Linked DNA regions of Neurospora crassa OR74A. The protein of the gene in region 1 binds, or shares a complex with, the protein of each later gene. Links are inferred from orthologs where the notes say so. Each region holds a gene or a part of one and is shown on either strand. Other genes may lie near its edges. The genes, in order: NCU16013, qcr8 and qcr7.

The links.
Region 2: the proteins of NCU16013 (region 1) and qcr8 are in contact, whole or in part, in a crystal structure (PDB 4PD4), measured with the Saccharomyces cerevisiae proteins. The link is inferred for Neurospora crassa OR74A from reciprocal best matches to the Saccharomyces cerevisiae genes COB and QCR8. Residues at the interface, in NP_009315.1 of Saccharomyces cerevisiae: Ser15, Asp19, Ser20, Pro21, Pro109, His202, Ile203, His204, Gly205, Asn215, Leu216, Arg218, Ile219, Pro220, Val320, Lys323, Phe324, Phe327, Ile328, Phe331, Asn332, Leu335, Gln338, Cys342, Glu345, Val346, Pro347, Tyr348, Met351, Ile354; in NP_012369.1 of Saccharomyces cerevisiae: Thr8, Tyr9, Met10, Gly11, Trp12, Trp13, Met16, Gly17, Gly18, Pro19, Gln21, Gln55, Tyr58, Val59, Ile61, Pro62, Ala63, Ile65, Tyr66, Trp69, Trp70, Gly73, Asn74, Tyr76, Asn77, Leu80, Tyr81, Asn93.
Region 3: the proteins of NCU16013 (region 1) and qcr7 are in contact, whole or in part, in a cryo-EM structure (PDB 6T15), measured with the Saccharomyces cerevisiae proteins. The link is inferred for Neurospora crassa OR74A from reciprocal best matches to the Saccharomyces cerevisiae genes COB and QCR7. Residues at the interface, in NP_009315.1 of Saccharomyces cerevisiae: Ser24, Ser25, Asn27, Arg107, Ser108, Pro109, Asn208, Pro209, Leu210, Ile212, Thr213, Gly214, Asn215, Leu216, Asp217, Asp309, Arg310, Ser311, Val312, Val313, Arg314, Phe318, Val320, Thr372, Glu374, Asn375, Val376, Leu377, Phe378, Tyr379; in NP_010818.1 of Saccharomyces cerevisiae: Pro2, Gln3, Phe5, Ile8, Ala9, Ile11, Gly12, Asp13, Ile15, Leu16, Cys25, Val26, Val28, Ala29, Asn30, Phe32, Ile33, Leu35, Ala36, Gly37, Tyr38, Leu41, Leu43, Phe45, Asp46, Asp47, Leu48, Ile49, Ala50, Glu51.

The regions. Positions count from the first base shown.
Region 1 is NC_026614.1:31,785-36,885, forward strand, and holds the start of NCU16013 (cytochrome b), read left to right. Parts: upstream 1-2,112; coding exon 2,113-2,508; coding exon of another isoform or gene 2,509-3,459; intron 3,460-3,826; coding exon of another isoform or gene 3,827-3,829; coding exon 3,830-3,923; coding exon of another isoform or gene 3,924-4,867; intron 4,868-5,101. Other genes in the region: NCU16012 (NADH dehydrogenase subunit 5), read left to right, coding at 1-504; NCU16015 (laglidadg endonuclease), read left to right, coding at 2,113-2,505, 3,827-4,867; NCU16014 (group I intron endonuclease), read left to right, coding at 2,113-3,459. UniProt on the Saccharomyces cerevisiae protein: Component of the ubiquinol-cytochrome c oxidoreductase, a multisubunit transmembrane complex that is part of the mitochondrial electron transport chain which drives oxidative phosphorylation.
Region 2 is NC_026505.1:5,788,015-5,791,755, reverse strand, and holds qcr8 (ubiquinol-cytochrome-c reductase chain VIII), read right to left. Parts: upstream 2,255-3,741; 5' UTR 2,155-2,254; coding exon 2,093-2,154; intron 1,957-2,092; coding exon 1,931-1,956; intron 1,681-1,930; coding exon 1,503-1,680; intron 1,381-1,502; coding exon 1,323-1,380; 3' UTR 1,016-1,322; downstream 1-1,015. Other genes in the region: NCU08946 (hypothetical protein), read left to right, coding at 2,840-3,163, 3,241-3,741. UniProt on the Saccharomyces cerevisiae protein: Component of the ubiquinol-cytochrome c oxidoreductase, a multisubunit transmembrane complex that is part of the mitochondrial electron transport chain which drives oxidative phosphorylation.
Region 3 is NC_026505.1:5,770,600-5,775,043, forward strand, and holds qcr7 (ubiquinol-cytochrome c reductase complex protein), read right to left. Parts: upstream 2,577-4,444; 5' UTR 2,312-2,576; coding exon 2,196-2,311; intron 1,879-2,195; coding exon 1,623-1,878; 3' UTR 855-1,622; downstream 1-854. Other genes in the region: NCU08941 (calcium-binding mitochondrial carrier protein Aralar2), read left to right, coding at 3,971-4,444. UniProt on the Saccharomyces cerevisiae protein: Component of the ubiquinol-cytochrome c oxidoreductase, a multisubunit transmembrane complex that is part of the mitochondrial electron transport chain which drives oxidative phosphorylation.

The DNA.
Region 1 (5,101 bases):
CCTTTTATATTTACTATATCTTTTAGTTTAATAGCTTTAGTTTTATCTGAAAAATACCCAAACTTAGTTGTTCATTTTAAATTATCTAGATTAGGTTATAATCTTTTTGGTTTCTTTAATCAAAGATTTTTAGTTGAATTATTTTATAATAAATATATTACAAATTTAGTTTTAGATTTAGGTGGACAAATTACTAAGATTTTAGATAAAGGTAGTATAGAGCTATTAGGACCTTTTGGTTTAGAAAAAGTCTTAATTAAATGAAGTAAAGATATAGCATCTTTAAGTACAAGTATTGTAACAAATTATGCTTTATTTATTTTAGTTGGATTTATTTTATATGTATTTACATTTATTAGTTTGTTAGAAGGAGGTTTGGATTTGAATTTATCTTTATTCATTTTATTACTTTCTTTAACATCTTCTACATCTTCTTCTGATTCAAAGGAAGGAAAAATGATCAAGAAAGCTGTAGTTAGCACCAAAAATAAAAATATACGATAATGACAAACTCAACTATACAATTACAAGAACTATATTCCAGCCCGGCTACGGTGGTCGTAGGTGGCTTAATAGTGGGTGGCCTGGGCCTAGTAGGCTACCTAGGTTGGGAACTCTATGAGTGAGTTAAACCCCAAATCAAAATCCCACCAGCATTGGTGCCTGTGTTGGTGGATTTAGTCCCTACTGCTCCTTCCCCTCCTCCCCCACCTTTCCCTTCTTCTCTCCCTGATAAAGATAATGTTTATCCAGATTTAATTAGTCTGATAGTCGTTTTTGTATTGGATGCCTTGACAGGATGGGCTTCCGAGGTGGAGACTGTTTCGGCAAATTTAAATATCAGAGATCCCCTTACTAATAGCATCATTCCCGTGGATGATGATGTGCTTAATCACGCCAGGCGTCTTTTACGTGGTGCTTATGATACACGGTCTTGGGCTTAACTGATCTTACCGATTCTCAGACCTTTTTTACCTCCAGCTGTTAATTTCCTACTAAATGGGGCCTATAGGACTTTTTTATATTCGACACAATACTTGGCGGATCTTGTGGATATACAAGGTGGGTTGTATTATACTACTTCCACCCTGGCATCTTTTCGCAACCCCCTCCTTTGCTCCGCAAAGGAGGGGGGGAGGTTAAGAATCTAAGTAAGCTTTTTTATAATATGAGAAAGATGACTATTGAAATGAACTATTTCGTGGTACATCTGGGTGGGCAGGGGGGTTATATTATAAATCGTAACAGAGTTTAATTGTAAATCGGGGGACCCCACAACCCGATTTAAGTTCGTAGGTTTATCCACAAGCTTCCTAATCCCCCCTTCCCCCCTGCAGTACTGCAGGGGGGGGGGGGCGAAAAAGTAAAAATTATAAAATATTTAGAGAGGGAGTGGCGTTTAAACCACGTCCACTCCCTCACTCTTAATAAAAAATAATAATAATACCTGCCAGCATAGATATTATTGAAAAAATATTAGTTCCACCGGTTAATTCATAGTTAATGGTGTAGTCATTTCGTGTGCTATTAGTAAATAATGAAGAAAGAATTTTGAATGTTTTTATTTGCTTCATTAATAACTCCTATTATAAGAGTATTTATTATATGTATTGAAATGAGTATTGAATTACGCAGTAGACTGCGTAGGTTAAGTAGAATCCTCCGAGATGAATTCCGTAACGGCTTTAGTTATTTAGATACTGTTCGAGGCCGGGGGACCCGGGGTGAAATCCCCCCGAAAGGGAGGATTTCTTAAGACAATTCGACAAACCTCCTGACCTCTAACACATCGACGGAAATGAATAAAAAAGGATTGCATTGTAGTACAATAGTTTTTGTTTTTATTTGCTTATTATTAATCCCTATTTTAGGGAAATCGAGTACTTAAATATCCTATATTCCAGGACTCCTGCCTCCTGCCTCCTGCCTTCGGCAGGAGGCAGGAGGCTCGTCCTAGTCTAGTCTATAAAATTACTAATATTAAATATATTAATATATTATAAAGAGTTTTAATAATAATAATAATAAGGTGTAGAAGAAGTTTGGTTTAATGATCTTTATTCTTTATATTTTTTTTTTATTTCTTTCATTTTTTTTATTAATTTATTTACCATGAGATTATTAAAAAGTCATCCTTTATTAAAATTAGTTAACTCATATCTTATTGACGCTTCACAACCTAGTAACATAAGTTATTTATGAAACTTCGGTTCTTTATTAGCATGTTGTTTAATTATACAAATTGTAACTGGTGTAACATTGGCAATGCACTATAGTCCTAACGTATTAGAAGCTTTTAACTCTATAGAACATATTATGCGTGATGTGAATAATGGATGATTAGTACGTTACTTACACAGTAACACAGCTTCAGCTTTCTTCTTCTTAGTTTATTTACATATAGGAAGAGGAATGTATTATGGATCTTATAGAGCTCCTAGAACATTAGTTTGAGCTATCGGAACAGTAATCCTTATACTTATGATGGCTACTGCCTTCCTGGGTTATCAACATAGCCCAAAATGGTTTGATATAAGTAATAAAGGTAGTATAAGTAATAAAGGTAATATCACAAATTCGTTGCCCCCCCTCCTCCAGAGGTGGGGGGGAAGAATAAACAAGAGATTGTTTAACAAAAATCTAGTAAAAAGAGGTTATTGTACAAGTAGTTCTTTAAATAGTCCTGAAATGTCTGAAAGATTACAAACGATTATTAATGAATTAGGTATAAACCCTGTATATGTTTATGAAGATTTAAATCAACCTTCCAGTTGAAAACAAATATTACATGATACAAGAGATTTAAGCGGTGTATATATGATAATTAATAAAACAACAAAAGATTATTATATAGGTTCTGCATCCAATAATAGATTTTATACTAGATTCTGTAATCATGTTATTCATTTTACAGGTAGCAAAATAGTTAAATTAGCAATTAAAAAGTATGAATTGAAAAATTTTGCTTTTGTTATATTAGATTTATATCCTAATGTTGTTACCAAAGAAAATAACAAGGAATTATTGGATTTAGAAGATAAATATTTAAAACTATTAGTGCCTAATTATAATATTTTAACCGAAGCAGGTTCTAGTTTTGGTTACAAACATACTGAAATAGATCGTCAAAAGATGAAAGATCTTTATAGTGACGCTAGACGAGAAAAGATAGGTAGTCTAAATAGGGGTAAAAAGTTTTCTCCTGAAACAATAGAAAAAATAAGAGAAAAGGCTTTAACTAGACCTCCTATGTCAGAAGAAACTAAAATAAAATGTATTGCTAATACAAGACCTGTTGTGTTATATAACTTGAATAGAACTATTTACGGTAAGTACTCTACTATTTTAGAAGCAGCTAATGCTATTAACTGTAATGAAAAAACCATTAGAAGAGCACTGCAGACAGAAAAAAAATTAGTTAAAAGACAGTGAATAGTAGAAGATTTTTCTGACAAATAGGTTTTATTCCTTATTATACTTTATTCTTTATTATACTTTATTCTTATATAAACCATAGTCCCATGAGTATAAATCTTTTTGCAATTTTTATAGAAAAAAAAAGATTAAAGTGGTACATCCCGACAGGGATGTAAAATAGTTTTAGTACTATTTGGCGATGTTAGTGAAAACGGTTAAAATCCCTCTACTTATGCTGGGACAAGACCGTCGGTTATATAAATAATCGCTACAGACTGGGTCACTAATGGGTGGCTGAAATGCTGCTTAATGTACAGTCGGAACTTTTAATTAAACAAAGGTATTTAATTAATGGAATACACGAATTAAAAGTTATTCCAGCTTATTATTGATATAATAAGTAAGTACGTATGTTTTACCTTATGGACAGATGAGTTTATGAGGTGCTACTGTTATTACCAATTTAATAAGTGCAATTCCATGAATTGGACAAGATATTGTTGAGTCAAAAATTATTACTTTAATTATTAATTTATCTTTTATTGCTATTTTATTTTCAATTGTAGTTGTGTATTATTATATCTTACTACATGTTAATTTTTCATCTAACCTTCCTACGATAGGTGTTATTCATCAAAACGCTTTAAAGAAATCAAATAAGGCTTTAAGATTAGATAAACAAGAATATATATCCATTCCTTCATCATTTTTAGCTTTTTTAGCTGGATTGGTTGATGGTGATGGGTATATTCAAGTAACTAAAACATCTAAAGGTTTCATAGCAATTAAGTTAGTTATATCTCTTCATTTAGAAGATCTTTCTATTTTAGAATATATTCATTCTGTTTTAAAAATAGGTAAGATAAATATTTATAAGGATTTAAGAAGTCCAACTTGTAAATTAGTAATTAATAAAACGGATCTACAAGAAATATTGTTCCCATTGCTTATGTATAATAAGATTTTTTTCTTAACTAATACTAGAGCAGATCAATTTAACTTAGCTATGTATATATTCAAAAATGATATTAAGATGTATAATCAAATTCCCGATAACACACCTGCTGTTTTTGAGATACCTAAAAATCCTATTGATTACACATTATTGCCTTTTTTTAAAAATTGAATAGTCGGATTTACATGTTCTGAGGGTTCATTTTTTATTAAAAGTAATAATGATGGTTGTTTTCAATTAAAACAGAGAATACATACTAATTTATTTGAAGCCTTTAAACTAATGTTTAATACTAATAGAAAAATAGATACAACAAATAATTTTAATCAATTTGGTGTTAGTTCTAAATCTGATATACAAAAAGTTATAAATTTCTTTTCATTTTCAGGTTTACATCCTTTAGTAGGGTTGAAATATATTCAATATATAAAATGGTTAAATAATTTACGAGAAAGTTTGCGTTATAGTACCTTAAATTATCCTGATGCAAAATAATGCAAGATAGATTGCAAAAGATATAAATTAATAAATGTAATGGGGCTCCTTAAAATAGGTAGGGTTTAATCTTATTATATTTTAGAGGCAAATGGGGAAAATTACAAGGACATTTAATAAATTACCTCCGTTTTATTAGATTATTTGTAGCGAAACTTAATTCGGTATATAAAAAATGGATTAAGAACGTTCAACGACTAATGAGTGAGTTATACCAACAATAAGCTCAACACG
Region 2 (3,741 bases), on another chromosome or scaffold:
AATATATATGTTATATAGCTTGGAATGGTCTGTGCAAAATTAATAACACGGAACACAATTTCACATGTTCGTCTTTTCCATCTCTTCAACACATAACCCATGCTCCATGTAATCAACCCCGTCATAAAAATACTTCTATGATCTCTTTGCAAAAGCGAACAAATGGCGAGACCCTGACAGCCCAATGCAACTCAAGCGAAAGGAAAAAAAGACTATCATTAAATCATAGAATATACCAACCGAGGTTGTAGGAAAAAAAAAAGAAAAAGGGGGGGGGGGAGGGGGGGGGGGGGGGGGTTCGTTTTGCGCTTTTGGGCCACCCGTTCCTGCATTTGTTTGGTTTCTTTTCATTCATTACCCCTGAATGTTGCGTTGGTTGGGCTGATGGATGTATGGCCGGATTTCTTCACCGATCTGCTCTTTCTTCCACGAGCGTTTCTGGAAAATGCACTGCAGCTAATGACATGACTAGGCACCATACCAATAGTAGTTGAGAACTAACATGTACTTATGCCTACTTTGGAATGTTGCCCTGGAAATGCGGTCTGGAAGTTGGGGCTTAGTGCAGTGCCATTGTTTAGTTTTGAATTTGAATATAAAATGGCTTCGAACATACCTACCTCCCGTCATTGTTTACCTTGGATAGGTATCGGCATCTACGATGATGAGTTTGAAGGTGAAGTATTCACAGTCCTATTCATGGAGGTGAGAATGCTGAGCAGGGCTGGTTAGCTTGTCCCGGGAGAGGAACGGTATATGAACTAGGACGTTCGGCTTCACAGGCGTGGTGATACGTCATAAGGCCGGGCGCCGCTACAGTTTTCAGCCTTCCAGCGTCTGACATGCTTCCAGAGGCGAGAAAGAAAATCAAACTCCATGAAAGGAACCGGCTCGCTACCTCATGGTTCTCCTCGCAAGATCTAGTGCAGCCAACGAGCACCAAGCGCCGAAAAGACTGGCCTGCGGACCGGCAAGATGCACAATGATTGTACCCAAAGACAAGAGAACTGGAGCTAACCAAGGGAATGTCCGGATGATGCGTGGATAGATTAGGATCGTGACAAGGCTGGAAATCACATGCGATCTGTCGAGCCGAATGTAAACAAGAAACGACTTGGTGGTGGTGTTTCAGGTGTCGTATGAGATCCAAAACCAGCACATGCCGATACCCATAAGAGAGGTCCATGTCTTGTCTATGCCAACTCCAATTCGAACCGCGTGGGAATAAAGATGGTGATATACAGGTTAGTCTATTGAGTACTAGTTCTCTCTCTCGGGAACTGCACTCTGGTTCCGTGCCCAAGTATCGTAAAGTCCATCGCTTACTCCTCCTGGCCAGCGAACTCAGCACGACCGGCCTTCGAGTTGAGGTAGTGGTTCCTAACCAGCAGAATGCCCTGTTAGAATGTGGCACTCTCTTGAACGACGACAACAACGGTCCCTCCTTTGCCACCCCGTGATCGAAATCCCTCGGGGCTGTGGGTGGTGGTGATGCAACGTACCGCTCGATAGCCCAGTTCATGATGTAGTAGCCGGCAACAAGGGAGGGGGCCCAGTAGAGGAACTGGGAGCTGACACGTCTGAAGGTGTTGAAAACGGCGTCGTGGGCAGTGCCGGCGAGGGGGTTCTGGCGGTTAGGGCTGATACCGTAGGAGATGATGCCCCTCTGCTTCATGCCACCTGTTCGTCGGGAAGAAAAACAACATGGGTTAGATGGTCTTGTTCTGTCTCGGGGGTCGTCTCATCGGTTCGTCAAGGGTTCGGCGTGCGGGCGAGTGGGCGGGCGGTCATCAAGGTTCTTCGTCTTCTGGCTCGACCATCTGTCGTGCCCTCATATTCGCATTCCCTCCCATCCCGGTATTTCCCGTTGTTGAAGAATTGCCGTATGTTTGGTATCGGTGCATCGTCAATTGCAAAGGTTCCTACTCACCAAAGTTACCCCAGCCACCAAGGTAGCTATATCAACATGCACGTTAGCTAACATCCAGAGCTGGATCGGAGGGGGAGCCGGCGCAAAGGGAAAAGGGCGCATCGCCGGTAGCTTGTGCCATGAAGTTCCGGGCTCTTCCAAATCACAAGTGGGAAGACTGACTGGTTGTGCTTGCCGATGGGGGCACCGCCGCCGCCACCGAGCATGGTCTGAGTAGGACGCATCTTGAAATATGTGTTGTCGCGAAACGCGCTATGGGGGGTATCAATCGGGTCGTGGTGAGGACGCAGTCGTCGTAAAGGTTCGGGAAGAGCTTCGCGCGGCGTTGAACCGGGTTTGACGAAGTTCGAACTGAAATCGGTCGACAGTGAGTGGCTGGCACTTCATTTGCCAAGTGCCATGGAGCCGTCACTGGCAGTCCCGTCAGAAACCCGAGTGCTGGAGGCTCAAAAGGGATTAGCATGGAAAGGTACAAGCTACAAGTACCTTTACAGCATCATTCTCTTTCAGCCTCCTTCCGACCTGCCCGTCTGTTGAACAAAACAAGGTGCACGGACCATTAGGATAGGTATTGAATCACCATACGCAAGCACTGAAAGACATCCCCGGGCCATGCGGGGAGCTTGAGAGAGCTGGGCCTGGTCCGGGCGACGGGACATGGCACTCCACTTTTTGCAGAAGCTCCATCCATCGCAACGACTGCTGCTTACTGCTGCAACTGGGGAAGCACCACCACCACCACCACGATCCACGCCACGGTCCACGCCGTAGTGTTTGTAGTGTGATAATCCCACAGCCCACCTTGAGGTATCCCCGGAAACGACGTCCACGAATACTCTCGAGTCAGATCCCTCACCACCACATCAACCGAGTTCGATCCCTTAATCTTGATTCAAACCGATATTCACAATGGCGGCAAGAGGGTTGGACATGATCACCAAGTTCGCCATCCCGGCAACTGTTGGTGTGGCTCTTCTCCAGAACTCCATCTACGACGTCAGAGGTGGTTCGCGGGCGGTTATTTTCGACAGAGTTGCCGGTGTGAAGGACACGGTCGTCAACGAGGGCACACACTTCCTCATCCCATGGCTGCAGAAGGCCATCATCTTCGATGTTCGCACCAAGCCTCGCATCATCCCTACCACCACCGGCTCCAAGGATTTGCAGATGGTCAGCTTGACGCTCAGAGTGCTGCACCGTCCTGAGGTGCAGGCTCTGCCCAAGATTTACCAGGTGCGTTTACAAGAACTTGCCCCTTATGACGGCTACGACGGATCACAACGAACTTGAACTGACTGGAATCCCCACAGAACCTCGGCCCAGACTACGACGAGCGTGTCCTCCCCTCCATCGGCAACGAAGTACTCAAGTCCATCGTCGCCCAGTTCGACGCCGCCGAGCTCATCACGCAGCGTGAGGCCGTCTCGCAGCGCATCCGCGCCGACCTCGTCAAGCGCGCCGCCGAGTTCAACATTGCGCTCGAGGATGTTTCCATCACCCACATGACCTTTGGCAAGGAGTTCACCAAGGCCGTCGAGCAGAAGCAGATTGCGCAGCAGGATGCCGAGCGTGCGCGCTTCATCGTCGAGCGTGCCGAGCAGGAGCGCCAGGCCAACGTCATCCGCGCCGAGGGTGAAGCGGAGAGTGCAGAGACCATCAGCAAGTCTATTGCCAAGGCTGGCGATGGTTTGATCCAGATCAGAAAGATTGAGGCGTCGAGGGAGATTGCCCAGGTGTTGGCTGCCAACCCCAACGTGGCGTACCTGCCCGGAGGTGGCAAGGGGACAAATCTGTTGATGAACGTTGGCAGG
Region 3 (4,444 bases), on another chromosome or scaffold:
CAACTTCTCTGTGTACCTTTTTGTTTACAGGCAGACAGTCATTGCTTCATGATAGAAAAAGGGGGGTTTTGTTTACCTCTAGGTGTGCGGGTAGTGTTTTCTTTCTTTCTATTTTTCTTTCTTCTGTTGTAGGATAGCTTACTCTTTTTTCTCTTTTTCAGCTTCGACGTGGTCAGCTTTAGTTAACGTAGTAATGAGAGTATGTACACTGTCTGCTCTGTTGTCGGGTGGACTGGTACACATCAGATATCACACATATCACCCACCGAAAGGAGAACTAAGTTGTCACTTTCAGTTTTCGCAACACAATATGCCCGCCGCCATTTTGGTATGATGCCCATTGGAACCGAGAGAAGAAAGAAGTCTGTGTGTATCCTCAGCATGATTATGCGGGCTTACACAATTGTGCCTTCAACGTCCAGAAACGAAAGAAAAAAATACTGGAGTCTTCAACGCTGCCTGATCCCAAACATGTGTGATACTCCTTTTTTTTTTTTTTTTTTTTTTTTTTTTTTTTTTTTTTTTTTTTTTTTCTGAGTACACACGATGAACAAGATCACAACTTTTGAGTGGTGCTAACTGCCACCAAGGTTGTGAGCGGCACAAACTCGGGTCCTCGTCAGCCACCTGAAATAGAGCAGGTTTGGGCCATAAATTTCCTAGTCTCGGAGAAGAGGAATGTTTCTTCGGCGGTATCTTTGGACAAGGGCTCTCTAAAAAGTAGGCAGCCATCTGATATGACAGGCAGCTACAGTATGGCCGCCATCACTCCCGTAGGTTATTGTCTCACTTCTTCCCATGGTTGCGTACCTCTGCTACTACTTAGTTCTAGGCTCTTTGGGACACAGAGACAATGAGAGTATTTGCGAATTGAGCGGAGTTTTTTTTTTTTTTTCTTATTACTTTTTGATCTAACTTGTCATGACTCTCACATACACTTCTTCAACGTACAGCATAGCAGAGGTCGATTTCGATGGCTACCATGTCTGAGACACTTCCTTCCCTCCCCTTTCTTTTCTTTCTCTCTTTCAGTTGTCTTGTTGTTTTGGGGGGGGGGGAAGAATGCAGGATAAAGGTCTATTGCCCATTTTCTTTCCTTCTAATAAGTAGAAATGGTTAGGTAGTCTTTTCTTTCGCAGTCGTCACCATCTCCTCTCAAAGCATTTTCCCCTTCCACTTCCACTTCATAGAGATGCGCGGGTTCTGGGAGCGTGAACACAACCATAGACAAGAACATTTGGCTGTTGCCCATTGTCGTTGCATCGCAAACTGTCCATCTTCCCCCATCCACCTTTTCCCCCCCTTCATCCTATTTCTCCAGAAAGCAATTGGCAGCAAGTTGTCGAAGAGTTCCAGGTTCCAGAGAATCGAGGGGACGAGTTTTTGTTTCGGTTCTTATTTTGAGCGCATCCACTTTATTGCTTTGGTATCCTCGGCTTCCAAATCCTAAGCGTAGCGTAGCAGTACTCCAGCCTTTCCCTTCTCTTCGGTTCCTTCGTTCCCGTCGAAAAAAAAAGTCGGCCAGTCCAGTTCCCACCGCGCGCGGATAACGGAAAAACCTTCCCTCCCATCCTTTCCCATCCTTCCTTCCTTCCCCTTTCATACCTTTATAAGTCCCGCGCTTAGTTCTTGACGACAGCCAGGGTGTCGAGAGCGTCCTTCTCGGCGGCCTCGGCCTCGATCTGGTCGATCAGGGGGCGGAGGTAGGGGACGTCCTCCTCCTGGGTGGTCCACTCGTTCTTGGGCAGGAGCTTGTGGGTGAGGGAGAGCTGGGTGGCGCGGCGGATGCGGTAGATGCGGTCGTACGACTCCTTGGGGCTAAGGCGCTGGAGGGCGGCGAGGACGGTCTCGTTCTCCTCGGAGATGAGGTCGTCGGCGCTGTTTTTGGGGAGGAAGGGTGGGTTAGTTTATGGGTTGTTGGTCGGTTGTATATGGTATAGTGAGTGGTAGGTAGTTAGATAGGTAGGTGGGTGGGTGGGTGGGTGTTGGTCCTCCTGCTCGGGGATGTGGAAGGGAGGGAGGGAACTGCGGCTGGGGCGCGAGCCATTGAGGTAGAACCGGGCCGAGGAGAGACAGATGGATAGACGTAACACATAGAAGGGCGATGGTTTCGATACAGGTAGAGCCTACGTCACAAGGGTCCCGGGCCGGACTGCTGGCCATCGAGGTATATAAAAGAAACAACAAAAACTCACCGGAGACCCATCTGACGGTAGCCGGCGGCATTGATGTACCAGTTGGAGACGGGCTTGAGCATCTTGTTCAACCAGCCACGCTTAGCGACGGCCTGGACGAGAGAAGGGGCAGACATGGTGATTGATGGATGATTGTCGACCGGGGTGGCGGTTGATAGTCGGTGATAGGTAGGCGAGGTGGTGAGGAGTCTACACTCTCTTGTCGTCTGGTCTCTACGCACTTGGGAAACACCAAGGTCAAGATTCAAGATGGAGGGCGGAGAGAGCTAACAAATTGCCGCGACCCGCAAATCAGCAAACCCGCGAAAGTCAGCCAGCCATTTCAGCCAGTAGTAGAAGCGCACTGTCCAACTAGAACACTCAGAAAGAAGCTCCGGGTGCTCCGTGCGTTTTTCTTAGACTGTCTCCCGTCTCCCGTCGCTCCGGGAAAAGCCGTGTCCAAGTGGCTGATGCCTCAAAGCTCAGGCTCTACGAGAATAGGGAATTTGTTTTCTTGGCAAGGGTTTGGGTTACCATGGAGCTGTCGGTCCAAATGCCAAGGCAGAGATGAGGTCGATGTTATGGGCCGCGGTGGGTCTAGAATTGGAGACGACGACCAGGGCAGCCGCTTTTTTGGCGGGCGACGGTGGTGACCGCTGGCGCTGTTTCGCTGCAGTGAAACGGAATCTCGACTGATAGCTATCATCTCTTGTCTGGGGGAAGGTTAAAAACGGGCCATACTGGGGGTCTTTGGTCTGAAGTCTAAAACTCCCGAGACTTGAGAGACCTGGACAAACACATGATTATCTGGACACCTACTTTCTGGCCCCTAGACCAACACTTGCTTCTGGTGTCTTCATGACTCGGAGGGGAAGGAAATTCGAGGCAGCTCCCAGCGCATCCGGAATTGCTGTTCATCCACTCACTGCCTACGGGAGTCACGGGCAGGTAGGTAGGTATGGACAATCACTGCAGTAAGGTGACATAATTGGTAACCATAATTGGCATCCGCGTCCCGCCGTCATTGGCGTTGGCTGTTCGTTTCTGTAGATAACTACGTAGTTTCCTTAACAAGAACCAACCTATCTACACACCAACATCACCATCCGTCCTCGGCCTCCGTCTGGCATTCGCACACAAAAAGGTTCCTGTTGTACCTCTTGGTCGAAAAGAGTCGTGTAGCTTCTTTCCACTGCACTTTGTACTATCGTCCATCTCTTTGCCAAGAAACCCTGTCTTTGGAAAACGGGACTTCCCCCACATTCGCCCATCCTTTCCTTCATTCCACTCACCTGCATACTAGCTCCTCTACCAAAGACAGGTACGGTAGCGAGCCTGCTCGTGTGCTCGCTCACCAATTGCGAAAAATCCAACAAGTTCCCAAAATACGATCCGCGCCAGGGCCTCTTTCTCTCCTACGCAAAAACCCGGCTGCCCCGAGCCTCACGGACGAACGGTGATATTTGGTGAACTCCTGTTATCAACACCTCGGTCTTCGACTCAGTCCCCCCCAAGCGAACCTCTTTCTTCCCCGCACCCGCGCTAGTACGCCGTTCAAGCCGGGAACGTCAGCTTCCTGATCAACACCACCCTCTCAAGACTCCAAAGCTCCAACAAGCCGAGATCACCACCCTCTTTCCGACACTACGGCGGCATCACGGGTCACCGATTACTCCGGGGTCTCTGAGTTGCGACCAGCAGAGACCCCTCGAACAAAGACGCACCATCTCGTCTCGATCCCCGCGTCTCGATTGCCCAGTCCCAGTTCCGACTCGAGTCGAGAGAAGGGTAGCGGCATGTCTACTATAGACACCCAACACCACATCTCCCACTCTGGACCAGATCCCGCGAGTTCGGCAGCAGAATATGGCGTGCGCTCCTTGCCAGGCGCCCGGCCACCCGCCACTTTTGCGCCCGCCAACTCGGTGACCGAAGAGCTGGAGGAGACAGCAGCAGCAGGGCAAGACATAACAGAGGAGATAATAGACTCAGCCTCGGCCGACCCAATGCAAGAGGACCCCAACCGGATAACGGGCCTGGAAAGATGGGCAATGAATGCTTCGGACTCGCAGTTCAATGCGCTCGCCGGCGCAGTGGGAGGCTTCATGTCCGGCGTGGTCACCTGCCCGCTGGACGTTATCAAGACCAAGTTGCAAGCGCAGGGCGCGGGACAGCATGTGGGCCAGCCCAGGATGTACAATGGCCTGGTAGGCACGGCCAAGGTAATATGGAGGCATGAGGGCATTCGCGGCATGTATAGGGGCTTGGGT